Canis lupus familiaris: one gene and its partners. The main gene of each other region encodes a partner of the protein of the gene in region 3 in a complex. Links are inferred from orthologs where the notes say so. Each region holds a gene or a part of one and is shown on either strand. Other genes may lie near its edges. The genes, in order: PABIR1, ARPP19, PPP2R2A and RBL1.

Evidence for each region.
Region 1: the proteins of PPP2R2A (region 3) and PABIR1 are in contact, whole or in part, in a cryo-EM structure (PDB 8SO0), measured with the Homo sapiens proteins. The link is inferred for Canis lupus familiaris from reciprocal best matches to the Homo sapiens genes PPP2R2A and PABIR1. Residues at the interface, in NP_002708.1 of Homo sapiens: Phe84, Leu87, Lys88, Ser89, Leu90, Tyr178, His179, Asp197, Met222, Glu223, Leu225, Thr226, Glu227, Val228, Tyr337, Asp340, Phe343; in NP_612206.5 of Homo sapiens: His81, Ser82, Ser83, Arg84, Leu85, Ile88, Lys89, Glu92, Arg99, Glu100, His103.
Region 2: the proteins of PPP2R2A (region 3) and ARPP19 are in contact, whole or in part, in a cryo-EM structure (PDB 8TTB), measured with the Homo sapiens proteins. The link is inferred for Canis lupus familiaris from reciprocal best matches to the Homo sapiens genes PPP2R2A and ARPP19. Residues at the interface, in NP_002708.1 of Homo sapiens: Lys18, Gly19, Ala20, Asp23, Asp24, Asp29, Ile31, Thr45, Asp47, Gly49, Arg51, Val53, Phe55, Val73, Thr76, Gln78, Glu81, Pro82, Glu83, Phe84, Leu87, Lys88, Ser89, Glu91, Glu93, Tyr178, His179, Asp197, Leu198, Asn221; in NP_001293124.1 of Homo sapiens: Lys42, Pro43, Gly44, Ser46, Phe48, Leu49, Arg50, Arg52, Leu53, Lys55, Lys58, Tyr59, Phe60, Asp61, Lys75, Pro93, Asp97, Leu98, Pro99, Pro103, Leu105, Val106, Ala107, Ser108, Lys109, Leu110, Ala111.
Region 4: the proteins of PPP2R2A (region 3) and RBL1 are in contact, whole or in part, in a cryo-EM structure (PDB 9C6B), measured with the Homo sapiens proteins. The link is inferred for Canis lupus familiaris from reciprocal best matches to the Homo sapiens genes PPP2R2A and RBL1. Residues at the interface, in NP_002708.1 of Homo sapiens: Lys88, Tyr178, His179, Asp197, Leu198, Met222, Glu223, Glu224, Leu225, Thr226, Glu227, Val228, Ser247, Arg278, Ser279, Phe280, Phe281, Ser282, Glu283, Ile284, Ser287, Tyr337, Phe343; in NP_002886.2 of Homo sapiens: Ser615, Pro616, Leu617, Met618, His619, Pro620, Arg621, Val622, Val625, Arg626, Ser629, Leu632.

Annotation. Positions count from the first base shown.
Region 1 is NC_049222.1:89,250,535-89,258,291, forward strand, and holds PABIR1 (protein FAM122A), read right to left. Parts: upstream 4,011-7,757; 5' UTR 3,896-4,010; coding exon 3,032-3,895; 3' UTR 1,379-3,031; downstream 1-1,378. UniProt on the Homo sapiens protein: Acts as an inhibitor of serine/threonine-protein phosphatase 2A (PP2A) activity. Inhibits PP2A activity by blocking the substrate binding site on PPP2R2A and the active site of PPP2CA.
Region 2 is NC_049251.1:18,488,936-18,495,955, reverse strand, and holds part of ARPP19 (cAMP-regulated phosphoprotein 19), read left to right. Parts: intron 1-4,636; coding exon 4,637-4,759; intron 4,760-7,020. UniProt on the Homo sapiens protein: Protein phosphatase inhibitor that specifically inhibits protein phosphatase 2A (PP2A) during mitosis. Inhibition of PP2A is enhanced when ARPP19 is phosphorylated.
Region 3 is NC_049246.1:31,380,128-31,387,147, forward strand, and holds part of PPP2R2A (serine/threonine-protein phosphatase 2A 55 kDa regulatory subunit B alpha isoform), read right to left. Parts: intron 4,114-7,020; coding exon 3,948-4,113; intron 1-3,947. UniProt on the Homo sapiens protein: Substrate-recognition subunit of protein phosphatase 2A (PP2A) that plays a key role in cell cycle by controlling mitosis entry and exit. Involved in chromosome clustering during late mitosis by mediating dephosphorylation of MKI67.
Region 4 is NC_049245.1:26,289,463-26,296,482, reverse strand, and holds part of RBL1 (retinoblastoma-like protein 1), read left to right. Parts: intron 1-4,706; coding exon 4,707-4,973; intron 4,974-5,781; coding exon 5,782-5,993; intron 5,994-7,020. UniProt on the Homo sapiens protein: Key regulator of entry into cell division. Directly involved in heterochromatin formation by maintaining overall chromatin structure and, in particular, that of constitutive heterochromatin by stabilizing histone methylation.

The DNA of each region.
Region 1 (7,757 bases), on a different chromosome or scaffold from region 3:
CAGTGAGGGTGGGGTACAGAAAACAAGAAGGAGGGGCAAGGGTCAGATCCCCCAGGGCCTCCCGGGCCAGAATTAGTATTTTGGTATACCACAAACATAACAGGAAGCAAATGAAAAGCCTTAAGCTGGGCGATGGAAGATCAGATATGCAATTTTAAGAGGATTACTTTAGCTGCTGTATGGAGAATGAATGGACAGCCTACCAGAGACAGTGTGAGAGGGAGAGATGGGAATTACGCTAGAAGTCTCGGAGGGAAATGAATGGTAGCCTGGGTTGGGGTGGCAACAGAGATGAAAACAAAGTAATAGATTCTGGAAAAGAAAATCACTAAGACTTGGAGAAGATTCGGAGGAAAGAAAAGGAAGAGATGTCAAGGGCGTGGTGGTTCCTGAATTTATATACATATATACATGAAAATGAGGGGTAAAACATCTTATACAGTATATCTTGAATTAACAGAAATTAGCAACAGGAAGGGAAGATGAATTTTACATAGTAAAAGGCAGACTTGCAGTTTTTACTATATAGGTATCTGCATTGTTTAAATACTTTTATAATCAGCAGGTATACATTCTTTCATAGTTAAATTAACATGCAATAAAAAAAGAAACAAAGCACTTGCCTGGCTGAAAAGGACAGGAATGGCATTTTAGGGGAAAAGAACAATCCATCCAAAGGCACAACACATGAAAGTACATGGCATATTTAAAGAATATCAAGTAGTCTAGTGTTTGCAGAGTAAGAAGGAAGGATGTGTGTCGGGGTAGGATGAGCAGAGCTGTGAAGCTGTTTTACAATATGCCCGGTTCACGAAGGACAGTATTATATGCCAGGTTACAGAAAGCATTCCCTACACCGTGGGAAATGAGGATGCACATCGAGTTTTCAAGCGGGAGGGGGGAAAATCAAGTTTATATATCAGAAAGATCACTTTAGAGGTGGGGTGAAGACCAGGCCAGAGGGGAGGTGGGAAATCACTTAGGCTGGAACCTAAGCTGAATCAGAGGCAACAGAAGCAGTGTAGCGGAGAGGTCTCAGGTTCACTTCAGTAGACAGAACTGAGTGATCACGCTGGATGTGACAGGGAAAAGGGGAAAGTCAAAAACGCTTTCTATGGTTTCTCGTTTAGAAAATCAGCGAGCACATCAATTTAGGTAACTCAAGAACAGGTTCGATGAAAAGATACTAACTTTTGTTTTGGAGATGCTGAGGTTACAGTACGTCTGGAAGCAGATCAAGGTACCCAACAGGAAGTTGGACATACTGGAGGAACAAGGTCAGGACTGGCACACATGAACTATTACCCAGAACAGAGAATTTTAAGCCTGTGGACACAATCTTACCCTCAACATAGTTTCATTGAACTCTTAAGGCAACTTTCAAAAGTTGACTAGTTCCATTTATTCTCGTAGTTGTAAAAAAAAATTCCACATAATTGTTAAAGTCTCTGTAGGCAGTTACTTAAAGAAAGCCGGAGCTTTTTGTCTTGGTCTCTTTTATTTCTTCCCCTTTTTTTGTCTGCCATTCTTTCTACCTATCTAGTAAAGGAAGATATAGGAAGGTATAATATAAAAACATTTGTTATTAAATATTTTCATATTTTGTCTTAGTTGTAAAAGGCAAAGAAAAGAACATTTCACAATTCTACCTTTAACAAAATCTAAGTTAAATAACGATTTACCTATGTGACTCTCCACTGATTTTTTTTTTTCTCTTTCAAGTCACTGACCCTTAATCAACTGGCATCCCCAAGGCAGTCAAATCCAGCTGTGGCTTTAACTACACAGGTTCCTGCAACAATTCCACAGTTCTGTTGTTGCTCACTGTCGGAAATCCAAGTCACACTGTACCTCTGTCTAACCGATGATGCCCTAGTTTGGTGGGAGGTGGAGAGGAAGGACCTGTTGGCAAGGAAACAGCGGCTTCCTTCCTGAGCCAGGGAAAACCAGGAAGGTAACAGATGGGCAGAGCAGAAAAGCAGCCAAAAGTTGCTCTGGCTCCTTGTTGGCAGGGATTTTCACTGAGGCACAATTGGATATTTTAAAGCATATCAATGATTGAGAGATTTTTATCTGCCTGGGTGCTCTGGTGAAGTTCAACAGGGCTTCCCACATTCTCTACATCTGAGAAACTTTTAAGTTTGCAGTGGTACAAAGGACCTGGTCTCAGCCTATGTACAGTGGGCTAAGACTGCAAGGCACTGTCCCATGTCCCTTCAGGATTATACCCAAGAGAATGCACTTTCTGGTCTAGAAAAAATTTTTAAACTTTTCTGTAGTTATATTGGCATGACTTATTAGAATTACTATTAAAACTTCATTAGAAAATGCGTTTGTTTACTTTTATATAGTTAATTTAAAAAGACTTGTTGCAAACTTTTATATTTTGTTTTTATCATTCCCCCCTCACAGCCACTTGTGTACCCAGAAAATTAAATATCCGAGGATTCCTGGGTAAAATAGACAACCACTGGATCACTATGTTATAACTAACATATTTTTAAAAACCGCTGTAAGTAACTAGGTTATCCTCCATCAAATAGAAATTAGCGACCACTGGAAAAATAACATCAAAAATTAGTGTGGGCATGAAATATGGAATTTTAAAACATCAGTTTACTATACTGATTAATTCAACATTTATATTTGCATCAGAACTTAATAATCCCATAAATAAATAGAGCTCTCGATTATTTTAAAAAATCAAGGGATAACATATGTATTTAAACATATTAGCAGCATAAAGACGTATGCTTCAACACACTTATTGGAAAACGTCTGAAAATATCACTACACTGAATTCAAGGGCACCCGCAGGAACCTGACATAAAAGTTCTCTAGAGTAACAACATCTCAGGAAATTCCAAAAAAAAAAAAAAAAAAAAAAAAGGAAAGGGTCGAATAGGAAATAGCCTCAAATTAATTGACAAAGTTCAGTGCTTGCTCCAACTTGATTTTTCTCTCCATTGCAAAAAAAAACAAAAACAAAAACAAAAACAGAAAACAACGAGTCTCGGGATGGGAGGGTGAATCACTTAGATGAAAGTTCATCTACTGGAATAAATGGAGAGGCCGCTTGGGCAGGCGACACAGGAGAGTCGGTGGTAGTGCTGACTTTCGCTGGTGAGTTACAAGAAGATCCGGCGCTGCTGCTGTTTCCGTCAAGGGTATCAGACGATACGCACACGCCAGGATCTGACAGCTGTGCAACGTCAGAAGAAAGCATGTTGGTGATGCCCTGGAAAAATCTCTTTGGCTGATACTCAGTTTCCATTTCACATTTTCTTTTCAGTGGTCCAAGAACACTTGGTCTAATGCAATTGATGGGACTCTGGCTTCTCCGGGTAGTAAACCGAGTCGTTGGGCTGGGAATAGGGCTCGGAGGCAATCCATTGCTACTCACAAAACTTTGCAAGGATGGTGAAAAGCACTGCTTCCCGATCCCCCGGGTGGGTGACGGCGCTGGTGACACCGGAATGAAATCGATGCGCTTCGGGGAGGCGGACTTCTCCGCGTCGTTGTCACTCAGGCTGAAACTTTCCTCCCAGGAGTGGCTTATCTGCATGGCGTTCTGCACCTCGCGCTCGTGGACGGTCTCTCGGTTGATGAGGTCCATGCCCTCCTCCTGCTTGATCTGGTGCAAGCGGCTGCTGTGCATGCGGACCGGGGAGGCCGGCAGCAGCAGGCCGTGGCGGTTCGGGAACGTCGTGCTGTTCCGCCGGGCGCTCGGCGCCTCGGCCTGGAACACCGGCGAAGTGTCACTGAGGCCGTGGATCAGGGGGGCGCTGTTAGACCTCCGGAGGCCCCCGCCCGCGCCGCTGCCGCCGCCCTCCGCCGGGCTCCCGCCAGCACCCGGAGGCAACTCCAGGTCTAGCTCCATCTTCTCCTGAGCCATGTCGGGGGCAGGGAGGCGGGGGCGGCGCTCAGAGACCTGGGATTCCCATTCCCCGCGGTCCAGGGCCAGGGCTGGGGCCACCGCCGCCGCCGCCGCCAATCTGTCAGCGGGCTCGTCCTCTTGCGCATGCGTGCCCCTCCGCGCAGGCGCCCTGAGATTTCTCTCCGCGCGGCGCCTGCTTAATGCGTCATAGCCCGAGGGGGAGGGGCGCCGAGGGGCCCGGCGGCGGCCGTTCAGCCCTTTTCTTCCGCAATTAGCTACTACTACCGAGCCGCAAGCTCGCGGCGACGCGGCTTCCGAAGGTCACCATAGTCCCCGGAGTCTGGGTGTAGCAAAGCAGAGCTCTGACAGAGAGGCTGGTGGCGATGCGGGGGCCGTACGAAGGGGAGCGGAGCTTGGCCTAAGCAGGGAGGGCTTCCCTGAGGAAGGGGCCGTCTCCTGACCTCCGGAGGACACGGAACGGGAGCGGGCTGCGGGGCGTCCAGGAAGGGGAAGCGCGGTGGGCGGCGGGGACCGGGGGAGGGGGGGGGGCTGGCCTGCCGGAGGTGGAGGTGGTGGCCCGGGCCCTGATCCTAAGAACAATGAAAGCTCCGGGGGTGGGGGGGGTGGGGGGGTGGGGTCAAGGAAAGGGTGTAACCCCCGCAGCGAAGCCTGCAGGCTGCTGTCTGCAGGGAATGGGGTCGTTGGGAGAGGAGAAGCAGCAGGAGGGAGCAGGAGGGAGGCCGGAGGAGAGGCAGTCCTGGAAGCAGGGGTGGGGGGTGAGAGGGGGAGGCTGTTGAGGCCCCGGAGCGAAAGCCAGCCTGTCCCTGGAGCCCTCTTAATTTAGTCCCGTTTCCAGCACGAGCATGTGTGCTCCAAGATCATCTTCATTCCCTACGAGGGTTTAAACGGAGGCAAAAGTAAGAGGGCTTCACGCTCTAAAAACACAACACTCAGCTTAGGCAATTAACATAAATTTTGGTATCATGAAAATCACGGTTTGGGGTTTTTTGTTTGTTTTGTTTTTGCATACCTACTATGCACTAAGCACTGGTAGGAAGGAGGCCCTAATAGGAGGGCATTTCATTTCTACTGCAAGGAAAGAGAGAGATGAATAAATAAAGCTGTTTTCAGATCGTGGTAAACCTTAGGAAAGGGGGGAAAAAAAAAAGATGGTGTGATAGAGCACTACTGATAGAAAGGGGGGGCGGGCAATTAGAAAGGACGGAGATCTAAATTCCAGATGCAAGTCACGCTGACATCTGGGGGATGCATACTCTAAGCACAGAAGACAGCACGTGCTAGTAAAGCCCTAGACATGTCAGTTTGGTGAGCTGGCGCCAAGAGAAGAAAGGGCAGGGGGGAGAGTGGTTGTGAGGGCGCAGAGGAGTCTGGATCTCTCATCCCAAGTACAATGAAAAGCCACTGGGGAGTTTAAAGCAGGAGAGTGGTGTTCTTTTGGTTTAGGTTTTAAAGATCACTTGGGCTGGGTGGGAATTAGGCTGAAAGTAGGCAAGGGTGGGAGCAGAGAGGCCGATGAGGAACCGACCGCCGAGGCGCAGGCAGAGGACCCGGCTAGGGTTGTAGCCGTGGTGACAAGGAGAAGTAGAACCAACAGGACAGGCCTCAGATGGGTTGGATTTAGATGATGAAATGAACAGGCCATTCAAAGGCAACTCCTAGGTTTCCTGCTTCCGCTGGATACACAGCATGGTCACTTACGGAGATAGGGATGGAGTGGGTTTCAACAGGTGGGAATTAAGACTTCTCCCTTGGGCGATGTGAGTTGCAGGTGGCTATCGGACAGCCATGTGGCTGTCTGAACCGAAAGAAAGCTTAGTGATTTTTGTTCATTCTTCTCTTTTTGCAGCTGAAGGAAAAAAAAGTGACGTTCACCATCACACAGCTTGTTTAGTAGTGCGAACCAGTACTAGGATCCAGGTTCCTAGTCTATGCCTCTTTTTCCACTGTTATCTCAGAATAGCTTTTCGTTTGAATTCCCTGTGAAGTACAGGTCCTAATGATATAATGTTGATTAGTCATGCTTATAATTATATAGAAACTGATTTAAGCTTGCCAGGTGTCAGACACTATTTAAAGGGCTTCACGTGTAGTACCTTATTACTTACCTCCTCAAAACAGCCCTTTCAAGGAGGTATTATTGTCCTCATTTTGCAGGGGAAAACAGATGCAGAAATTAAGCAATGTCCCCAGGATGAGAGTAAAGGGCAGAATCTGAGCGTTCTGGCTCCAGAAAGCCTGGGCACCATGTTGCCTCCTAAAAGGGCAATGATGTTTTAGAATTGGGAGAAGCCACTTCCAGATTCTTAGCTTTGCAAAGGCAACAGTACTTGAGGCAGGATTTAAAGGATAGGGGGATCCCTGGGTGGCGCAGCGGTTTAGCGCCTGCCTTTGGCCCGGGGCGCGATCCTGGAGACCCGGGATCGAATCCCACATCGGGCTCCCGGTGCATGGAGCCTGCTTCTCCCTCTGCCTATGTCTCTGCCTCTCTCTCTCTCTCTGTGTGACTATCATAAATAAATAAAAATTAAAAAAAAAAAAAAGGATAGGTAGGATTTTTATGGAGCGATGGTCTTTTTCATAGAGATGCGACAGCATGACAAAATAGTGAATTTGCTAATACATGATGTGATGTACGTGGAGAAGAACAATAATGGGGAAAAACTTGGAAATGGAAGTGGGAGTGAGAGAACCGGGGCTCTGAATGCCAGCCAAAAGGACCCAAATTTAACATCTGAGGCAACAGGAAACCGTGGAAACTTTCTGACAAGAGGAATGACGCTATGAGAACTATACTTTAGGACCTGCCAGACAGCTCAATGATGGAGTGAAGTCGAAGAATGGAAGGGGGAAGAACCAACACCCACGACTTGCCAGGCACTTTAAACACTCCACAGTCCCACTGCATCCTCATTGCAATCCTACAAATTAGATATTGTTATGCTCATTCTATAGCAGGACAGCTGAGGTTAAAAAATGGCAAAAGGAGGGCATCTGGGTGGTGCAGTTGGTTAAGCATCCGAATCTTGGTTTTGGCTCAGGTTGTCATCTTGGTCATGAGACTGAGCCCTGCATACTTAATGTGGAGTCTACTTAAGACTCTCCCTCTCCCTATGCCCCTTTCCCTGTGCTCACTCTTGCTCACTCTCTAAAATAAATATATCTTCTTTAAAAAATTTGCAACAGGCCCTACAGCTACACAGAAGAACAAAGACCTGAGCCAATCTGAATTAAGGTCCTACTTCAAAACCTGCATTGTTTTTGCTGCCTTTCTCACAGATTAGAGAAGGAGAATCTGATGGCTAAACTGCGAGACAAAAGGAAGGTCTAAGCTCAAGTTGGGAGCGGCAGAAAAAGGAGATGGATTTGAGAGACAGGAAGGTAATGACAGTACCCGACTCCTTGCATTTATAGAGGATGGAGAGAGAGGTGTCACAAATGACAAATTCAAGCATGAGTGGCTGAAAGAATGGTACCTTATTGAATAAAAACAGGAGAGAGATGAGGAAGAGCCTTCAGAAGTAAATTAATATAGGATAAATAGAAAAAAGCATGAATTATGGAACTTTTTAATAGTCACAGCATAATGCTAATTTTTGTATTATTAAATTATTACTCGTGGCTCAAAGGTGCCAACATTGTTCATCCACATCTGGATAAGAACAATTATCTTTGGGGCAGCCCTGGTGGCGCAGCAGTTTAGCACCGCCTGCAGCCCGGGGCGTGATCCTGGAGACCGGGGATCGGGTCCCACGTTGGGCTTCCTGCAGGGAGCCTGCTTCTCCCCCTGCCTGTGTCTCTGCCTCTCTCTGAATAAATAAATAAATCTTTAAAAACAATTATCTTTATTAAAAGCACAAAG
Region 2 (7,020 bases), on a different chromosome or scaffold from region 3:
TACTTTCTTCTGTTGATGCTGTTGCCCAAAATTGTATTTAAAATAAACTATTTTGATTTAATTGAACATGCTTAGTATTATGTATAAACATATACAAGAATGTATTCTTTATTTAGAAAATACAGGAATGCCAGATACAGTGGTATGTTGTGTACAACTTTCTTCCCCTCTTTTATTGAAAATTAGGGAAACCTGCAGAAACACAGGAAATTAGGGCAAGTTGCTACCACATACTAGAAATTTTAAGGAATTTCTCTTAGATATAGGGAACTGATAATTCAACTCAAAGGAAGTGAAGAGCCTTTATTTACCAGGCCCAAGAAAGCTGGATGGTTTTATTGGAAACGTAGGACTGTTAATACCCTTTAGTTTGAATGTGTGAGGACTCAAAGGCTATAATCAAGTTATAGTTCTTTTCAACTAACATCCAAATTTAAGATTAACCAATTTATAAAACAACTGTATCAGGGGACCCAAGAATAAGTTCCTTTTCCCAATTCCCTCTGAGAAGCACCACTGTGAATACAGCTGGACCTGTGGCAGATGCCTACAGTGAAAGCTGAACCACCAAGGAGAAACTCTAGCCCACCTTCCTGCACTAAATTGGTAATCTTAAATTTATATTATTTCTTTAGCTTGGGTGATGAATACAGTATAGTCCTACCTTACATAGGGGTTAGATTCTAAAGTTATCAAACAAATTGTATATAACTAAAATACCCTTGAAGAACCCCAGTGAAGTCCCAATCGTAGTGGAGATAGCCCTATCAGTTCTCAATAGGACATGTCACTTTTTTTAATCTAGTGGTTGAACAGATACCTGGACTGATTCTTCAGTTAATTGACAGCTGAGGTGTAGTAGATTTCTAGGGGCTGAGTTCTTAAACACTAGAATAATAAACGGAACACTGATACACTTCAACTCTGAAAGAACCCCAGGATTGAGATCATTATGGGAATGGCAGGTTTGCATCACACACCTCACATTTGAGCTCTCTTTGGGGTCATACTCTTCTTTTTAAAAATTTTTTTTTTAATTTTTATTTATTTATGATAGTCACAGAGAGAGAGAGAGAGAGGCAGAGACATAGGCAGAGGGAGAAGCAGGCTCCATGCACCGGGAGCCCGATGTGGGACTCGATCCTGGGTCTCCAGAATCGCGCCCCGGGCCAAAGGCAGGCGCCAAACTGCTGCGCCACCCAGGGATCCCATGGGGTCATACTCTTCTTGAATGGAATGACTGGCAGAGTCACTGATACTATTTAGAGGCTCTGTCTCTGGCAGAGCACACAGAGTTGAATTTTGTGTATATCAAGAAAGTGATATGACCACTTAAAGAGACTGAAAATCTAAATAGATACATGAGACTGTAGCATAAAAGGAGGAAGGTAGAGCACTTGAAGCAGAAGGGGGAGCACACAATATAAAGGAGGCCCCATAGAAAAAGTATATTTGACAGCAGCTGCAGCAGCATTAATCTCAAGATATTCCAAGACTAAAAATGAGATGTTGTAACACATGAGGAAGCTGGTCAAGATGAGGGAAATACTGACAATGTATAAGGTCAACAAAGCTAATTATAAAGCATGCATTAATACAATTTTGAGGAAAATGGATGGAAAAATCGTAAGTTATTTTGGGCATAAATGATTTGCTTGCTGTATAGGAACAGAAGGCTTGGCATTTATGGATATTCATTCATTTTTGACATTCATAAATAACCTGGAAGAATTTTTTTATATAAATTTATTTTTTATTGGTGTTCAATATGCCAACATCTAGAATAACACCCAGTGCTCATCCCATCAAGTGCCCCCCTCAGTGCCCGTCATCCAGTCACCCGCACCCAACCTGGAAGAATTGAGATATGCAAAGGTATGTGATTTTGCCTGGCTGACATACAGAAATGAGTTCATTAGCTGGAAGGTGCATTTTGTCTTTGCCCAGCATTGCCTATCAGGGCAGCTTTGTTTTTCTTTTTTTTTTTTTTTTATTTTTTATTTTTTTTTTATTTTTATTTATTTTTATTTATTTATTTTTTTTTTTATTTATGATAGGCACACAGTGAGAGAGAGAGAGGCAGAGACACAGGCAGAGGGAGAAGCAGGCTCCATGCACCAGGAGCCCGACGTGGGATTCGATCCCGGGTCTCCAGGATCGCGCCCTGGGCCAAAGGCAGGCGCTAAACCGCTGCGCCACCCAGGGATCCCAGCTTTGTTTTTCTTGATTGATTGATTCTTCTTCAGTACTTACCACAAAGTGATAAACATTGCTCCCCTATAAAGTATGGTTCTTGGGGGGAAAAAGTAGACTATATCAAGACTGCTGTTAAAAGTGAGTAGGTTTGGGATTCCTGGGTGGCTCAATGGTTGAGCGTCTGCCTTTGGCTCAGGTCGTTGATCCTGGGATCCAGGGATCGAGTCCCATATCAGGCTCCCCATGAGGACCCAGTTTCTCCCCTTGCCTGTGTCTCTGCCTCTCTCTCTGTGTTTCTCATGAATAAATAAAATCTTTAAAAAAAAAAAAAGTTAAGTATGTTTGGGGCACCTGGGTGGCTCAGTGGTTGAGTGTCTGTCTGCCTTTGGCTCAGATCCTGATCCCAGAGTCTTGGTATCGAGTCCCACATCAGGCTCCCCACAGGGAGCCTGCTTCTCCTCTGCCTATGTGTCTGCCTCTCTCTCTCTCTCTCTGTGTGTGTCTCATGAATAAATAAAATCTTTAAAAAAGGGGGGAGGTGGGTTTTAGTGGACTCAGCCTTTCTGTCCTGTGGCTCTACCTTGTGGATGGGGATTGGATCCACTTGGAAGGGGAATGAAGAGCTTGAGAAGAGGAGAAAGAATAATGGGAAGGGACAGGACCTTTTTCAACTTGACAAGTAGTTTCTGTTGACCATGAAGGACACTAGGACACTCCAATCACTAGAGTCTGCAGCTGGGATCTTGGGAAAACTGACAAAAGTCAATGCAAGAAAAATGTCCCTTCTTAAATGCCAGTAGTATGAGCAATCATACCGTATAAAAACCTAATGTAGGTACAACCACCATGTCCTGAAATGAGACACAACTATTTGAAAGGACTGATCTATTCCCAGGACTGAGACTGATTCACTGGGTTATGGGATAATTGACCTCAGTTTCTGAACCATGAAATTTCTTGGGAAACTTTCAAATAGAAGAATGCTACCCAAAGTACGGCACTTTGGGATTTTGATATTATAAGCTGAAGGCATCTGAGAAATAGCATGTGCAGAAAGGACTTTTGGCTTTCCCCTGAAGCAGATAATAAGATCCGCAAATGAGAGGTGCCTTCTGTATAGCTGGAGGAAAGGAACTCCCCTACCTTCAAAGATAGAGGGACACAAAGAAGACTGAACAAATAAGCCTTGCTCCTTTCCTCCATTTACCACTCTCAGCTCATGTTCCTTTTTGTCCTGTCATATTTTTTTCATTTTCTCTCTACTTTTGATTAAACCTAGTATAAAAATGAGGTTTAAACATATCTTTGGTCTTCATGTTTATGAAGCCTCCTGTATCACATAAAATTTGTATTAAATGTGCTTTTCAAAAAAATTGAGTGAATAGGCTTTGGGGCACTTGGTTGGCCTAGTTGGAAAGCATGCAACTCTTGAACTTGGGGTTATGAGTTCAAGCCCCATGTTGGTTGTAGAGCTTACTTACAAAAAAACAAAACAAAACAAAAAAAAAAGGGCACCTGGATGCCTCAGTTAAGCATCTGACTTCAGCTCAGGTAATGGTCTCAGGGTCCCCTGATAGAGCCCCATGTCAGGCTCAGCAGGGAGTCTGCTTGTCCCTCTCCCTGCTGGTGCTCTCTCTCTCAAATAAATAAAATCTTTTAAAAGAAAAAAAGAGAATAGTCCTAAAATATTGATAGTCATTTGGTTAGAAAACACATTTTTGATACATTGAAGAATGGTACCTTTGGTATGAGCGGTCTGTCATTAAATACAGGGGGAAACTAGGGAATAATATACACTGATAGGAAGATTGACAAAGATACTTCTCTTTAAAAATACCAAGGCTGGGTGGCTGGCTGACTCAGTTGGTGGAGCATACAACTCTTGATCTTGGGATTGTGAGCTTGAGCCCAATGTTAGGTGTAGAGATGACTTAAGAGAAATAAAAATTTTTTTTTAAAAAGGTCTTCTATATTGAGTTAGGGAAAATCTTCTGGTAAATAAGTTGTTAATTCCTATTAAAGAATCTCAGTGCTTCCAATCATACATGAATCTGGATTAACAGATCTTTTTGTGTTTTAAGAGTATTAAGATGGTTCTCTGAATGCAGGCAAAGAACTGATGAGTTCCATGGAAGGTGACTAACTATAAATGTATTATACATGACTGGAAAGTAATGGCAAGCAAGCCTTCAGAGCTGAGTTATCTTGATATTTTTATCCAGTGTGTGGGGTGTACACATGCATCACAGCTATAATAGAGCTATCACATGGATCATTTGAAAAACAAGACAGAGATGTTTTAAAAGCTTCTGTGCTTGATTTCTCAGTCAGATGCTGCAGTATTTGGCATTCGACAACTGAAGTCCAGATCTAGATATTAAAAGGTGAATTGTTTTAAATAAGTAAATTGTAATAGACAAGTTATTTTAAATTATTTCAGGAAATGGAAGATAAAGTGACTAGTCCAGAGAAAGCTGAAGAAGCAAAATTAAAAGCAAGGTATCCTCATCTGGGACAAAAGCCTGGAGGTTCAGATTTCTTAAGGAAACGATTGCAGAAAGGGGTAAGTTCTCTATATGATCTTCAGATGCTTAAACCCTATGAATTCAGTGTGCTGATTGTGATTACAAAATGGGTGTCTGTGTACATAACTCTGTATCTTACCAGATATATAGATACATAATTTTCCTATATTTTATACCTTTTATTGTATAAATACGTATAAGAATGAACAACTCATCACTTATTTAACTATAAACTATTTTAAACATGTGGAAAGTGCAGATAATAATATAGCAGAACCCATGTACCTACCACTCAGATTTAATATGTTAATATTTTGCCATATTTACTTCAGTTTTATCTTTGTAAGAAAGAAAATGTTGTAGATATAGTTGAAACCTACCACATGTGTGTAAATATCCTTCTTTCCCCTTCTTTCCAAAAGTTAGGACTATCCAGAAGCTGGCATTTATCTTTCTACTCATATATTTTTTTTAACTTTTACCTGTTTTAAAGATGATTTCCATGCCAGACTAAAAATATTTTTTATTTGGATGAAATCACTTATGTAAGCAGAGCTTATTATCTCCTTTACATAATACATTTTACAGTTACTCTAATACAGTTTATACATGGTAATTTTAGTAGTTCAAATTACTGAAAACATTTTTTCAAAATCTTACCAATTCTTTGTGAGGTAGAAACCATTTAATGCTCAGTAATGAGATCTGAATTGAGATAATGCTACTTGAACAAGATCCTTAGGTTTTCTTTTTTGACCTCTTTGTGAAAAATCAAAGGATTCCATCTTTTCTTTTCTTTTTTTTTTTTTTTAAGTAACTTTATTTACCACACAGGGAACAGGGAAAGATGAAGAGAATTATTAATTGAATCAGGTGCCAAATCATGTTTTTCCTTAAGTAAATACCTTGAACACTTGAACATACTGGTATCTGCTGTTTGGTTAACCAACACCTATCCATGTGTATGTGTATGTTTATATGTATAGGTATTGGCCATAGCTATACATGATTATTTTCTCAAATTGCAAAAGGATATTGTTTTCCAGCTTTATTGAGATACTGTTGACATATATATTGTGTAAGTTTAAGGTGTACAGTGTGATGATTTCACAACATACATGTTGTGAAATGTTTACTAGTAAGGTTAGTTAACACATCCCTTACCTTACATAATTACCATTTTGTTGTTACGTGAGAACATTAAAGCTCTACTCCTAGCAACTGTCAAGTATACAATGCAGTATTGTTAACTTACTGTATATTAGGTCCCTGGAACTTAGTCGTTTTATCATTGAAAGTGTGTGCCTTCTGACCAGTATCTCCCTATTTCCCCCACCCCTCAGCTTGTGGCAACCACATTCTGCTGTTTTTACACGTTTAATGTTTTTAGATTCCATATGTAAGTGAAATCATACGTTCTTTGTTTTAATACCGGGAGAGTATGGTAAATGTGGCACCTGGCTGGCTCATTCTGTACAGCATGTGACTCTTGATCTCCAGGTCATGAGTTCGAGCCCCATGTTGAGGGTAGAGGTTACTTTAAAAAAAAAAAAAAAAAGCTCGCCTAATAAAAATTCTAGCAATTCAAAATAAATACATAAAAACTTAATTTTAAAAGTGGTAAAAAGTACAGGTTTTTTTTTTTTGTTTGTTTTATATGAAAGAATAATGTTCACAGCTTTGAAATATTATTTCAAAGTTAGGAATTCAAAGGCAGGTAGGAATTATACCAAATATATAAAAAGGTAAAGTTTCTGGGGGCACCTTAGTGGCTCAGTCAGTTAAGCAAGCGTCTGCCTTGGGCTCAGGTCATTATCTCAGGGTCCTGAGATTGAGACCTGTGTCAGGCTCCCTGCTCAGTGGGAAGCTTGCTTCTCCCTCTACCTCTTTTTTTTTTTTTTTTTTTAAAGATTTCATTTATTTATTCATAGAGATGCAGAGAGAGAGAGAGGCAGAGACACAGGCAGAAGGAGAAGCAGGCTCCATGCAGGGAGCCTGATGTGGGACTCGATCCAGGGTCTCCAGATCATTCCGTGGGCTGCAGGCGGCGCTAAACCGCTGCGCCACCAGGGCTGCCCTCCCTCTACCTCTTCTCCCTGCCCTACGTGTTCTCTCTCATAAATAAATAAAATCTTTAAAAAAAAGTAAAACTTGTGTTCATGAGAAGTAATTCAGTGGGAAAATTATTACAAAAATGATAGTTAATATCTATAGTACATAAAAGGATTTTTCAGATACTCAAGAAAAACATTAAGGTGCTCCTAGATAAAGAATTTTAGCAGGAAAAATATCAGGTGCA
Region 3 (7,020 bases):
CTGAAAAAAAAAAAAAGACCAATTAAAGCTATGTCCTGAAGTGTCTGGGTGGCTTAGTTGGTTAAGCTCCTGCCTTCAGCTCAGGTTATGATCCTGAGGCCCTGGGTTCAATCCCTGCATCAAGCTCCCTACTTCTCCCTCTGCTAGCCACTCTCCCCACCCCTGTTTATGCTTTCTGGCTCTCTATCAAATAAATAAAATCTTTAAAATAATTAATAAAATAAAGCTATGTCCCCAAATTTTTAAGACAAAATTTGTGGGTATCAAGAATATATAAAATAGTATTTTTATAATGAACATTTATTTTGGACCAAGTTTAGACTTACAATAAAGTTGCAAAGATAGCAGTGTTTCCATTATACCTTTCATCTAATTTCCTCTAATGTCAACATCTTACGCCACCACAGGTATGATTGTTAAAACCAAGAAATTAACATTGTATGTTACTACTAACTGAACTCCAGACTTTACTCAGAATCCACCAGGTTTTCTACTTAACATCCCTTTCTATGCCAGGATCCAAACAACAGTGTATTAAGTTGTCAAGTTTCCCTAGTCTCTCTCATTTTAACAATTTCTCAGACTTTTCTTATTTTTCGTCATCCTGACAGTTCTGAGAAGCAGCAGTAAAGTACTAAAGAATGTCCCTCTACTGGGTATATCTGCGGTTTTCTCATGATCAGACTGGGATCACTGGGTTTTTAGGAAGAATACCAGAGGTGAAAAGAAGGTATACATGGTATCAACATTACTTTTCCACTGGTGATGATAATTCTGTTCACTTGGTTAAGGCAGTATCTGCCAGATTTCTCCATTGCACAGTTACTAATTTCCCCCTTCTCATACTCTATTCTTTGGAAATGAATCTCTAAGTCCAGTCCACACTTAAAGAAGAACCAAGTTACAGTCCCTATAAGGAGAAGCATCCATCCAAATATTATTTGAAATTCTCCTGTAAGAAGCATCTCCCCTCCCTGCTTATTTATTCAACTAATTGTTTATTTAAATCATTACAAAAAAAATCATTACAGACTCATGCATGTTTATTTAATGCTTTGTGTTATAATCCTAAAATTGCATTCATTATCATTCTTAATGGTCCTTTCATGAGCAATTTGGTACAATTTTTAAAAATAGCGTATAGAGATACTTTATAAAATTTTATCATATAGAGAGGTAGCAGGGACTCCTGTAGCCCTGCCACCTCTCTCCGCCTGGTGGTGAAGAGCATGCTAGCTACCTCTGCGAATAACCTTTACAAAGAGGAGTATAAGCAGAAAAGAACTGCTAACTTTACTAACTTGTAATCTAATATTTCATCTAAACCCTAGTGATCTTGGTTAGAATTATCATGAAGTTAAGTTGTGTTTTCTATGTACTATGTTTATTTTATAGATATACATATAAAATATAAGTTAGGTAAAGATCTATATATTTTAGGATATTTTACTTGTCCCCAAATGTTATTAATAAGTCAAGCCTAAACTCATTATTTTGGGAGTATCTAAAAATAAGGATGAAAAGCTTCCCTTCACCCAACCCCCATAACTGCCTTGTGCCCTGTACAAATTCATCATCCTTACCAAAGGTCCAGATAAATCACCATGCACTTATCAAAATTTTCAAATAAGATGTAATTAGTTTGTGGTTTCTAATAGTGTTTTAGGAAGAAAATTAATTTTTTTTAAATCACGAAGAACTGAATAAACAGATTTTTAAAAATATGCTACACTTTAAAAAAATTTTATGTGATAAAATTTGTCACTTAAGAGGTTTAAAAAACTTAATAGCATAAACACAGGATAGAAAAGTACTATACAATTTCAGTGCAATGCTTGGAAACAAGGCATGTCAGAAATAAAATATTTTAATAATTAGGACAAATTTTTAAAAAGTCAAAATTAAGCTCTATAGTAGTGATTTAATTAACTGTAGTTTTTGGCCAACTAGAAGTATGTGACAATAATCAAACTCCATAGAACTACATGCAAAATTATGTAAATATATGTATTTTTCTGTAAGAGTATTATTGGATTCCTTAAAGAAATCTGTCATTTCCAAAAGGTTAAGAGTGCTCTATGGTGTTTCCCTACATTGTCAATACTAATGAGTAAAGAGTATTCCAGAAGTCCAAAAGTCCCAGTGTTTCTCTCACCATAAAGAGAGAGTAGGACAGGGAAAACCATCTACCAAGTTTCCTTGTGGGAATGAATGTAGCTTTGTTATTAAAAAACTTATTAACAGCTGTTAAAACACAAGGTATTTACTGGTAAACTCTGTATTACTCATATATTCAAGATCCACGGTCAATAGGTTAGAGGTGGACATTTTGCAATGTGGAAGAATTGTGGAAAACTCTGAGAAAGCAAAAGGAGATGAAAGAGAATAAAGTTACGTGAAGATAAATTAAATGAACCAAAATTGTAAGGAGGCCACTGTGAAGTTCTGTGAATAAAAATGACCTGGGAAACACTGGACGGTTGATGATGACCATGGGAAATCCATATAAGACCAAAGTGAGATTATTTTTAGTCAATCAAAGGTGGGGGATGTTTCATGCTATTTTCCACCACCTCCCTTTAGGAGTTCATCTTTTATGAGCCAAAAGGACTGTTACATGTAGGGGAAGAGGAATTGTTATTCTCAATCTTACAGAGGCAAACATACCAGATAATATAAAGTTATGACTTAGATTTAAGAGATACTGACATTCTCCCATTATTTTCTTTCTTTGTAAACAATAAAGCTCTCCAGATATAGCTTAAGTTCTATTCCTTCCATCCTTTTCCCATCCCACCACATCCAGACACAACAGTCTGTAAAATTCCCACTTGTATCATTCTTGTACAGTGGGTTCTGTTTTTTATCACAAAAAAATAATGTAGCCCCAAATAATTGTATTTTATTTAGTGCTCATTAACAGTAACAACAAAAGACAGAAACCTACAATGCACTGTGTAGTGCCCTTTAAAATAATTTGTATTATTAATCAATGACTTAAAAATTCACATGGTATATCTATTTGGGAGACACTGTTGATTGTCTATAGAAAATACTACACAGGATAGGATCACATACCTAAGACCCAACGACTAGAATTCCCAGGGCCTCTCCCTCTACTGAGCGTTTGTAGAATTTACTGTCTAGAAAGGCTCATCTGGTTACACACATGCAAGTATGAACAGAGAAGTGAGGGGTAATTAAGATTTAATCCATAAATGAATCGAAATGGGATTTGTTCCCAAACAATACTGAGGAGGGAAAGCAGAAGTACCTGAACAAACAACTGGCTTCGAACTGAGAAGTGCTAAAGCTGGATGATGGGTACATAGGACTTTCTTATTCTAGTTCAGCCTTTATTTTAAACATTTCCCATTATTAAAAAGAAAAATACTTTATCCTGTAAGAAGTGAACTGCCAAAATTACTAAGAACAAATATCCCAATACGTGAATTATGTATGTCCCAACACATCTGCTTGGGGCATTTATCATCATCATCATCATCATCATCATCATCATCATCATCATATATATCACATTTACTACCCATAACAATACTATTACATTATTACCATCATCAGTTTGCTGATGAGGAAAATTTGACTTGTGTTATAATGTGCCAAAGGCAACTAAACCAAGATGTGGCACAAATGGTACCTGATCTAAAATCCAGTGGTAAAGTCCTCTTTTTTCACTACAGAGTGTGTATATACCAAGTGAATATGGACACCTGAGATCTTTTTCATAGAATTTAAAAACTAAAAGAAAAAAGGGAAGACAAAGAAGAATTTACACATCATGTATAGGGAAGACGTCTATTTCCAAGTGTCTATTTGTAGAACTCTCTGAACATCTATTCCTCTTTGTAAAAGTTAAGTATTGTACAGGATATATGTACACACACATATATAAAAGGCATATAAAAGGAAAAAAATTTAACACTTACCATTGGTAGACAATAAAAACTGAGCAGCATTTTTCTGGGGTAACCACCTAATTTTGTTGATCTTTTCTTCTATTTCTAAACTTTTCAAGTAGTCAAACTCTGGTTCATGGCTCTGAAAGGTGCTGTAAACATTATATTCTCCTCTGCTATGAGACTGGATTTTGTTCTAAAATGGAAACAAAAATATTTGGACCATTGTTGAGAAATATTTCAAAACATAAACATGCAATCAATTCCAACAGACCTTGCAAATTCTGGTTAATTAATTACCTGCATCTTAAATACAACTATAGTGGTTTTTTTTTTTTTAAATATTTAAGGCCTTTAGGAATAAATAAAACAGCTCCTCACAAAAAATGGAAAAGCTTAATAAAAAGCCTGAGCCCAATTCAATAGGAAAATGACATTAAAATATTGATCAATCTGATTACTAATTTATCATTATATAATAAATAGTAGAGGACTACTAGTAAAAAAAAAAATCTAAGCACCCTTAATGAGGGCGCTCACCTTTTTAAAAAGGGAAAATTAAAATAAAAAATTAAAAGGGAAGAATAAATAAAAGCTTGTTAGAAAACAGCTGGCTGCGGCACACTTTCTCTGTCCACTGTAGGGTCAACCATAAATCAGTTATTTATTGGATGTATTGTCTTCCTCCTCTTCCTTTCCCATGCCTGTCTCTAGGTCATGTCACTGCTGAAAAACTCTTATTTAAGAACTCCATCAATGTAATAGTATCATCTGACCCCAGCTTCTCCCAAGACCACAGTTACAGAGCTCTGTGACTCATTAAGTTCACATAAAGCATTACCCAGCAAACCTCACCCCACAAACCCATCGACAATTTCTTCCTCTCCTTAAGTTAGCCTTATGAGCCTAGCACACACTGATGATTTATTTCAGTTAGTATCTGGGTAAGTGAATACAGTTTAAACTATTAGCTAAAGCAACTACTTGTCAACTTCTTCAGTTAACACTAGTATCTTCACAAAAGTGAGAATTATAACCATGAGAGAATTTCACCTTTTAACCTATTATCACATGATTAAAAATCTTTCCGTCAAAAACATTAAAAGTCTAGTTCAAAGAAGAACCTATGGAAAAATAGTTTAAAGGAAAGATATTACTGATAGCCAACTATTCAAAAGTAAAAGTGAATTTATCAAATGAAATGTTTAAGATGACTTGATTAAAAGAATGGCTCATTATTGTTCTACATATAAAAGAAAACCTTAGTGAATCATCACCTTAAAAGCTTGTTTTGGGTTGTTTTTGTACAGCAGCTTGGTTATCTGGTTTGGTCATTCATGGTTCCAGTTATATTTGAACCCTCTGATAGCAGTATCAATTATTATTGAGTTTGCCAATATTAAGAATGCAAGGCATACCAAAAAACATAATCCCCACTGGGGATTAAAACCCTAGTCTCGGGATCCCTGGGTGGCGCAGGGGTTTGGCGCCTGCCTTTGGCCCAGGGCTCGATCCTGGAGACCCGGGATCGAATCCCACGTCGGGCTCCCGGTGCATGGAGCCTGCTTCTCCCTCTGCCTGTGTCTCTGCCCCTCTCTCTGTGTGTATGACTATCATAAATAAATAAAAATTAAAAAAAAAAACCCCTAGTCTCATTACCACAGTTTCTTTTTTTTTTTAAGATTTTATTTATTTATTTATTCATTTATTTATTCATGTCTTCATGAGAGACACATAGAGAGAGGTAGAGGGAGAAGCAGGGCTCAATGTGGGACTCGATCTCAGGACCCTGGGGATCATGACCTGAGCCAAAGGCAGATGCTCAACCACTGAGCCACTCAGGTGCCCCTCTTTACCACAGTTTTATGCCAAATCACATAACCTAATCTATTAAATATGTATACGCTACTATTGCTTTATAAGAAATTCAATAAATCTTTTACCGAAAATTACTGTTTCTAAAGGTCTGTTGTGCTACTCTCAAAAAAAACCCTTAACAGCAATTCAATTTTTAATATGAATGCTGTTTTTTGAGCTTAAGAAACTACAGCACTGTGTACATCAAGTCCTACAAATATAGAGAGATTTATTTTTATTTTTTTTTAATTTTTATTTATTTATGATAGTCACAGAGAGAGAGAGAGGCGCAGAGACACTGGCAGAGGGAGAAGCAGACTCCATGCACCAGGAGCCCGACGTGGGATTCGATCCCGGGTCTCCAGGATCGCGCCCTGGGCCAAAGGCAGGCGCCAAACCGCTGCGCCACCCAGGGATCCCTATAGAGAGATTTAAAACCTACTTCTACCTTTAAGTAACTTGTGTAAGGTTTTACTAAAACCTTAGTTTAATAAAAAAAAAAGTAGGTCCACTTGATTCAGGTAAGCGATATAGAGAACGAAAGGCAAACACATACAGTTCTTTATGCAAAAACTGGGTTTATATGGGTCACAACATAAAAGATGGTAAGAAAAACACAAACATAGGAACACACCCTCTAAAACAAATGAACAAAACAACCCCATCACCCTAAAGACTCAATAATTACCACATGGTCTAAACATCTATTAAAGAATGCAAAAACAGAATCATAGAGGCGATTAGAGATTAGCAGTCTTAATGGATTTCAAGAAGCATGTTTCTTTTCAACAGAGGAAAAGAATACACTACACAAGAATGTTATGCCTACAAGTTAGAGATGCCAGGCTGGACTTGTATATTAATATCCATACTCCTTAAACTCTACTAAAATTACAGTGAAAGAATTTTTAAAAAACAAATCAACAAGAACAAAGAACAGCAGCAGATATGACAGCAGTAGTAACAAAGAGAAGAAACCATAAAAAAGATGCATGAATGGAGACTGACTTCATGGACTGCAGAGAGCTGGACTCGTAGCCAAAAGTGGGTTGAGATTTTGCCTAAAACTCAGGGAGAGATGTTTCTATTATTATAATGATCATGACAGCGAGCAAGTATGAACTAAGTACAGTGAGCAAAATATGAAAAGGAAATGCAATTCCCTGTCAACACTGTGTCAAAGAAGAATGCACTTAAAAATGCTTTTTTGTTTCAAAATTTCCCTACAATCATGGAGAATTGACAC
Region 4 (7,020 bases), on a different chromosome or scaffold from region 3:
TTTTCATTTTTTAGAGAAAGAGTGGGGGAGGGGAGAGGAAAAAAATCTTAAGCAGGCTCCACACCCAGTGCAGAGCCAAATTGGGGGGCTCCATCTCACAGACCTGTTGCTCTGATTTTTAATATCTCTTTTTTAAATTGCCATGTCAGTTGTAGAAAGAGTATTTTAGCATTTTAATAAACCCACAACTTTTCTAAGATTTTATTTATTTAAAGAGCACAGGGTGAGGGGCAGAGGGAGAGAGAGAATCTCAAGCAGACTCCACACTAAGCATGGAGCCCAATATGAGACTTGATTTCATGATATTGAGATCATGACCTGAGCTGAAATCAAGAGTGGGATGCTCAACCAACTGAGCTACCTAGGTGCCCCAACATACAGCTTTTCTAAATGCTAATGGAAAATTCTGTGAATAAGCAAAATACCTACTTTTCAGATGTGACAAAAGTTATGTTCTTTTTCCATGTATGTCTCTGTAGAAAGATAAATATTTGAAGCAGAGGGGCACCTGAGTGGCTCAGTTGGTTGAGCATCCACCTCTTTTTTTTTTTAAGATTTTTTTTTTTAAGATTTTATTTACTTATTCATAAGAGACACAGAGAGAGAAAGGCAGAGATAAAAGATATAGGCAGAGAGAGAAGCAGGCTCCATGCAGGGAGCCCAATGTGGGACTCAGTCCCGGGACTCCAGGATCACACCCTGGGCTGAAGGCAGGTGCTAAACTGCTGAGCCACCCTGGCACCCCTAATCTTTTGATCACATATCCCTGAACTAACTTTAGATGAACAAGTATTCATTTTTCACATAGCTCTTGATCCTTTTTTGGACCATAATTGTGTGTGCGTGCAGGCACATGCATAGTCTTTGCTTTACATCTAGTGCTAGATTATAAAAATGTGCAAGCTCTGCATACAAAACAATCTTCATAAGCAATGGAAATGATTAGGATTATTTTATGATCTTTAAGAAATTTTACTGGGTGCCTGGGTGGCTCAAGTTGAGTGTCTGCCTTTGGAGAGGTTCATGATCCCAGGGTCCTAAGATCAAGCCCCACATTGGGCTCCCTGCTCAGCAGGGAGTCTGCTTCTTCTTCTCCCTTTGCGCCTCTGCCCTGTTTTTGCTCTCTCTTGCACACGCTTTCTCTCTCTTCCTCAAATAAATAAGTTAAATCTCAGGGCACCTATGTGGCTTAGTGGTTGAGCTTGTGCCTTTGGCTCAGGTTGTGATCCTGGGGTCCTGGGCTCAAGTCCCACATCTGGCTCCCTGTAGGGAGCCTGCTTTTCCCTCAACTTATGTCTCTGCCTCTTTATGTGTCTCATGAATACATAAAGTCTTTAACAAAAAAATAAGTAAGTAAAAAAAAAAAAAAAAAAAATAAGTAAGTAAATACGTAAATGTAAAGTGTTTTTTTTTTTGTTTTGTTTTTTTGTTTTTTAAGATTTTATTTATTCATGAGAGGCAGAGACACAGGGAGAAGCAGGCTCCATGCTGGGAGCCTGACCTGGGACTCAATCTGGTTCTCCAGGATCACGCCCCGGGCTGAAGGTGGCGCTAAACCGCTAAGCCCCTGGGGCTGCCCCTAAAGTCTTTTTTAAAAATGCAACCAAGAGAATCAAATAATGAAAAAATCCTTAGAAAACAATTAATATTGAGCCTTGACTCTGGGCAGAAGAAGACAATTAATTAATTTGTATATTTATTAGTTGTTCACTGTAGCTTTTCCACAACTGGGCTAGGAAAAGATAATTTGAAGGGGTTTACAGCTAACTTCATGGCTATAATGTGAATCCTCTATTGAAATGTCAGCTTTTAACATTTCTAGTCAGATTCAACAGCTGCCTTAGATTTCTTGTGTGTAAGGATCCAGGTTGGGACGCCTGGGTGGCTCAGCCGTTGAGTGTCTGCCTTTGGCTCAGGGCTTGATCCCAGTCCAGGGGTCAAGTCCCACATCGGGCTCCCACTTGGGAGCCTGCTTCTCCCTCTGCCTGTGCCTCTGCCTCTCTCTGTGTGTCTCTCATGAATAAATAAATGAAATCTTTAAAAAGAATAAGAAAAAGGATCCAGATAGACTCCCATTAGTAATGGGAGCTACAATAAAACTTAATACTTTCTACTGAGGTTGGGAAATCAGAGCCGCTTTCATAAGCCCCAGAATTACAGAGAGATTTTTGTTAAACCATGACTATTTGTCCACTTACCTCATTAATACAGAGAGCTGTCAAATCATTGCCAGAAGTAATCTTTATACCTCGTAAGCATGTTTTGAAAATATATTATATGGCTGTCTAGTTATCTAGTGAATGTAAAAATAAATAGTGAAATGTTTTTTATTTTCTTTAACATTTACTTATTTAAGTGATCTCTTCCATTCTGGGGCTCAAACCCAAGACTCCCAAGATCAAGAGGCCCATGTACCACCGACTGAGCCAGCGAGGTGCCCTGAAATGCTTTCACTTAAAAAGCATAGTATATGAGTGCCTGGCTGGCTCAGTCAGTGGTTTGGGGACCTCTTGATCTCAATTGTGAGTTTGAGCCTCATGATGGGTATAAAAATTACTTTTAAAAAGTTTTAAAATAGGGACGCCTGAGTGACTCAGTGGTTGAGCATCTGCCTTCAGCTCGGCGTGATCCTGGGATCCTGGGATTGGGGTCCTGGATTGGACTCCCTGCAAGGAACCTGATTCTCCCTCTGCCTGCCTGTGTGTGTCTCATGAATGAATGAATGAATGAATGAATAAATAAATAAATAAAATCCTTTTAAAAATTAAAAAAATAAAAAGTTTTAAAATAGGGAGGCTCAGTGGCTCATTTGGTTGAGCATCTGCCTTGGGCTCAGGTCATCATCCCGGAGTCCAGGATGGAGCCCAGTGGCATTGGGTTCCCTTCTCAGTGGGGAGTCTGCTTCTCTGTCTGCCCCTCCCCCCACTTGTGTACTCTCTTTTTCTCTCTCAAATAAGTAAAATCTTTTCCAAAATAAAAAGTAGGGGCGCTCAGGTGGCTCAGTGGTTGAGTGTCTGCCTTTGGCTCAGGTCGTGGTCCCAGAGTCCTGGGATGGAGTCCCACATCAGGTACCCCCCGGGGAGCCTGCTTCTTCCTCTGCCAATGTCACTGCCCCTCTCTCTGCGTCTTTCATGAATAAATAAATAAATTTTTTTTAATAAAAATAAAGAATAAAGGGGCGTCTGGAGGGCTCAGTTGGTTAAGCATCTGACTCTTGATTTTGGCCCAGCTCATGATCTCAGGATCATGAGATTGAGCCCTGCTTCTGCTCTGCACTGGACTTAGAGCCTGCTTAGGGTTCTTATTCTCCCTCTCCTGCTCCTCCTCCTGCCCCACGTGTGCGTGCATGCGCGCTCAAATAAATCAATCAATAAATAAATAAAACTTAAAGAATAAAAAAAAATTTAAAGAATAAAGCATATCATATTCCTGTAAAGAAACAATGGATTGGGGAAGGTAAGGAAGGATTAAAGATGTAGGATTGTAAGGGGCTAGGGGAACCTTTGCATTTGGTAGAGAGGGAAAGCTGCTCCTATGGAAGGATAGCATTGAAAATAGATATAATCTATAACCTAACTTTATTTTTGATCAACACACTGCCAACCCTCAGATTAAGGCAAGTTAATCATATCACCTTTATGTATCTTTATCTTCTAATGGGCTTATAAAAGATGATTCTGTACCTACTAAGTGAGAAAGCCATAGTACCTTAAACTGCTTATGTGTGGGCATATTGGAAGAAGCAAAACTGTGAACCAAATCACTGATTTTCCTTATTTACTAGATAAAATTGAGGGACAGAAGCTAATTGGACTACTTCAATTTAGTGGTCACTTCATTCTACCTCTCAACCTCTACTTTACCCTTAATGTTTTGCTCCTTTTTTCCTTTTTAAAGATTTTATGTGGGCAGCCCCGGTGGCGCAGCAGTTTAGCACTGCCTGCAGCCCGGGGTGTAATCCTGGGGACCCGGGATTGAGTCCCACATTGGGCTCCCTGAGTGGAGCCTGCTTCTCCCTCTGCCTGTGTCTCTGCCTCTCTCTCTCTCTCTGTGTCTCTCATGGATAAATAAATAAAATCATTAAAAAATAATAAAGATTTTATATATTTATCCATGAGAGACACAGAGAAAAGGCAGAGACATAGGCAGAGGGAGAAGCAAACTCCTCGCAGGAGCCCAATGTGGGACTCGATCCCGGAACTCCAGGATCATGCCCTGAGCCACCCAGGTGTCCCTTGTTTTGCTCCTTTCGTAGTAGGCAGGAGTTTGGGAAACCAAGAAGATGAGTTATCATAATTTTCACATGTAATGACTTTTCATTCTTTCACTAGATTTTCTTATATTTCATGAAGACAGAAGCCATGTTATTTACTGCTAAATCCCTAGTGCTTAACATAGTAGCTCAATATCTATTTTTTGAATGAATGAGTATGATGCATTATTTGGGAATATGATCAAACTGTTTTAAATTTATTTTTCTGGGATCCCTGGGTGGCACAGCGGTTTGGCGCCTGCCTTTGGCCCAGGGCGCGATCCTGGAGACCCGGGATCAAATCCCACATCGGGCTCCCGGTGCATGGAGCCTGCTTCTCCCTCTGCCTGTGTCTCTGCCTCTCTCTCTCTCTCTCTCTCTCTGTGACTATCATAAATAAATAAAAATTAAAAATAAATAAATAAATAAATAAATTTATTTTTCTTTCTATTAGATATGCAACCATTGTCTCCAATTTCTGTCCATGAACGCTACAGTTCTCCTACTGCAGGGAGTGCTAAGAGAAGACTTTTTGGGGAAGACCCCCCAAAGGAAATGCTTGTGGACAGGATCATAACAGAAGGAACAAAATTGAAAATTGCCCCTTCTTCAAGCATTACTGCTGAAAATATATCAATTTCACCTGGGCAGAGTCTTCTAACTATGGCCACAGCCATAGTCACAGGGACAACAGGACATAAAGTTACAATCCCATTGCACGGTAACATTTTAATGCCTTTATCTTATATTTTTTCTGAATTGGTTAATTAAGATTTGTCTTGCTGGATTGGATCACGTGGCCTTTTTAACCCAGTTTCTTTTGAACCTATACTATTTTTTTTTAATTTATTATTTTAGAGCAGTTTTGGGTTCACAGCAAATTGAGTAGAAGGTACAGGGGTTTCCCATATACCCACTGCCACACATACACAGCTTCCATCACCATCAGCATCCTGCACCAGAATAGCATATTTGTTAACAATGGATGAACCTACATTGACACATCATTATTATCCCAAGTCTATAGTTTACATTAGGGTTCACTCTTGGTATTGTACATTGTATAGATTTTGACTAAAGTTTAATGACACATATCCACCATTATAGTATTATACAGAATAGTGTCATTGCCATAAAAATCCTGTTTCCATCTTTTGTTTTTGTTTTGTTTTGAACTTACACGGTTTTTTGAATTTTCACATTTTAAAAATTTACCATTCTTTTTGTTAAGACTATTTTACTTTTTTATCTGAGCTTTATGAATGAGTTGCAAAAATCTTGTTTCTTGATTAAAAACATCTCCTTTAGAGTTCAAAAGAAAACAGTATTTTTTCAGAGCAGAAATAGAAAACAAGGGTGTTATAACCTAGAATTAAAAAAAAAAATCTAGAATTAATATTTTTGTGGATTTCTTCTCCTTTTCTCACCTATTCCTATGTTTATACATAGATAGTTAAAGATAATTGACAACCTTTCTGGAACACATGCAGCTTATTTCTAAAACTGAAAACTCTTGTTTATATGTTTAGGTATTGCAAATGATGCTGGAGAAATCACACTGATACCAATTTCCATGAACACAGCTCAGGAGTCCAAAGTCGAGAGTCCTATATCACTTACTGCTCAGTCATTAATTGGTGCTTCTCCGAAACAGACTCATCTGACTAAAGCGCAAGAGGCACATCCAACTGGAATAAGCAAACCAAAGAGAACTGGTTCTTTAGCACTGTTTTATAGAAAGGTATGTGATTTTATGGCATCCAAAAGATCTCATTTGGGGTGCCTGGCTGGCTCAGTCAGTAGAGCATGTGACTCAATCATAGGGTTGTAAGTTCGAGCCCTATATTGGGTATAGAGATTATTTAAAAATAAAATGATCTCATTTAATCAGTGCATCTATTGAGTAATAGAGCACCTTTAGCATTCTCTTTTGTGTGTATGGTAAAATATACATAATATAAAATTTATCATTTTAACCATTTTTAAGTGTACAGTAAAGTTTCATTAAGTACATTCACATTGATACACAGTTTTCACCATCATCCATCCCAGAACATTGTCATCTTCCTAAACTGAAACTCTGTTCCAATTACAATAATTCCCCATTCCTCTTCCCACCACCAGCTCCCGGCAGCCACCATTCTTCTTTCTGTCTCTATGCATTTAACTATTCCAGGTACCTCATATAAGTACAAATATGCATCCTTTTGTAACAGGGTTTGTTTCACTTAGCATAAGTCTTCAAGATTCATCCATATTATAGCATCATTCAGAATTTCCTTTTTAAGTCTGAATAATATCCCACTGTATTTATATATCACATTTTGTTTTTCAATTCATCCATACATGAACATTTAGGTTGTTTCTACCATTTGGTTATTGTGAATAATGCTGCTATGAACATTAGTGTACAAATATCTACTCAAGTCTCTGTTTTCAGTTTTCTTGTATATATACCCAGAAGTGGAATAGTAATTCTGAATTTAATTTTTTGAGGAACTGTCATACCATTTTCCACAGTGTCAGCCCCATTTTATATTCCTGCTATAGAGACGCCTGGGTGGCTCAGGGGTTGAGTGTCTCTGCCATCAGCTCAGGGCATGATCCTGGAGTCCCGTGATGGAGTCCTGCATTGGGCTCCCTGCATGGAGTCTGCTTCTGAATCTGCCTGTGTCTTTGCCCCCCTCCTTCTCATGAATAAATAAATTCTTTTAAAAAAACAGTTTTATATTTCTGCTACCATACATGAGGTTCCAAGTTCTCCACAT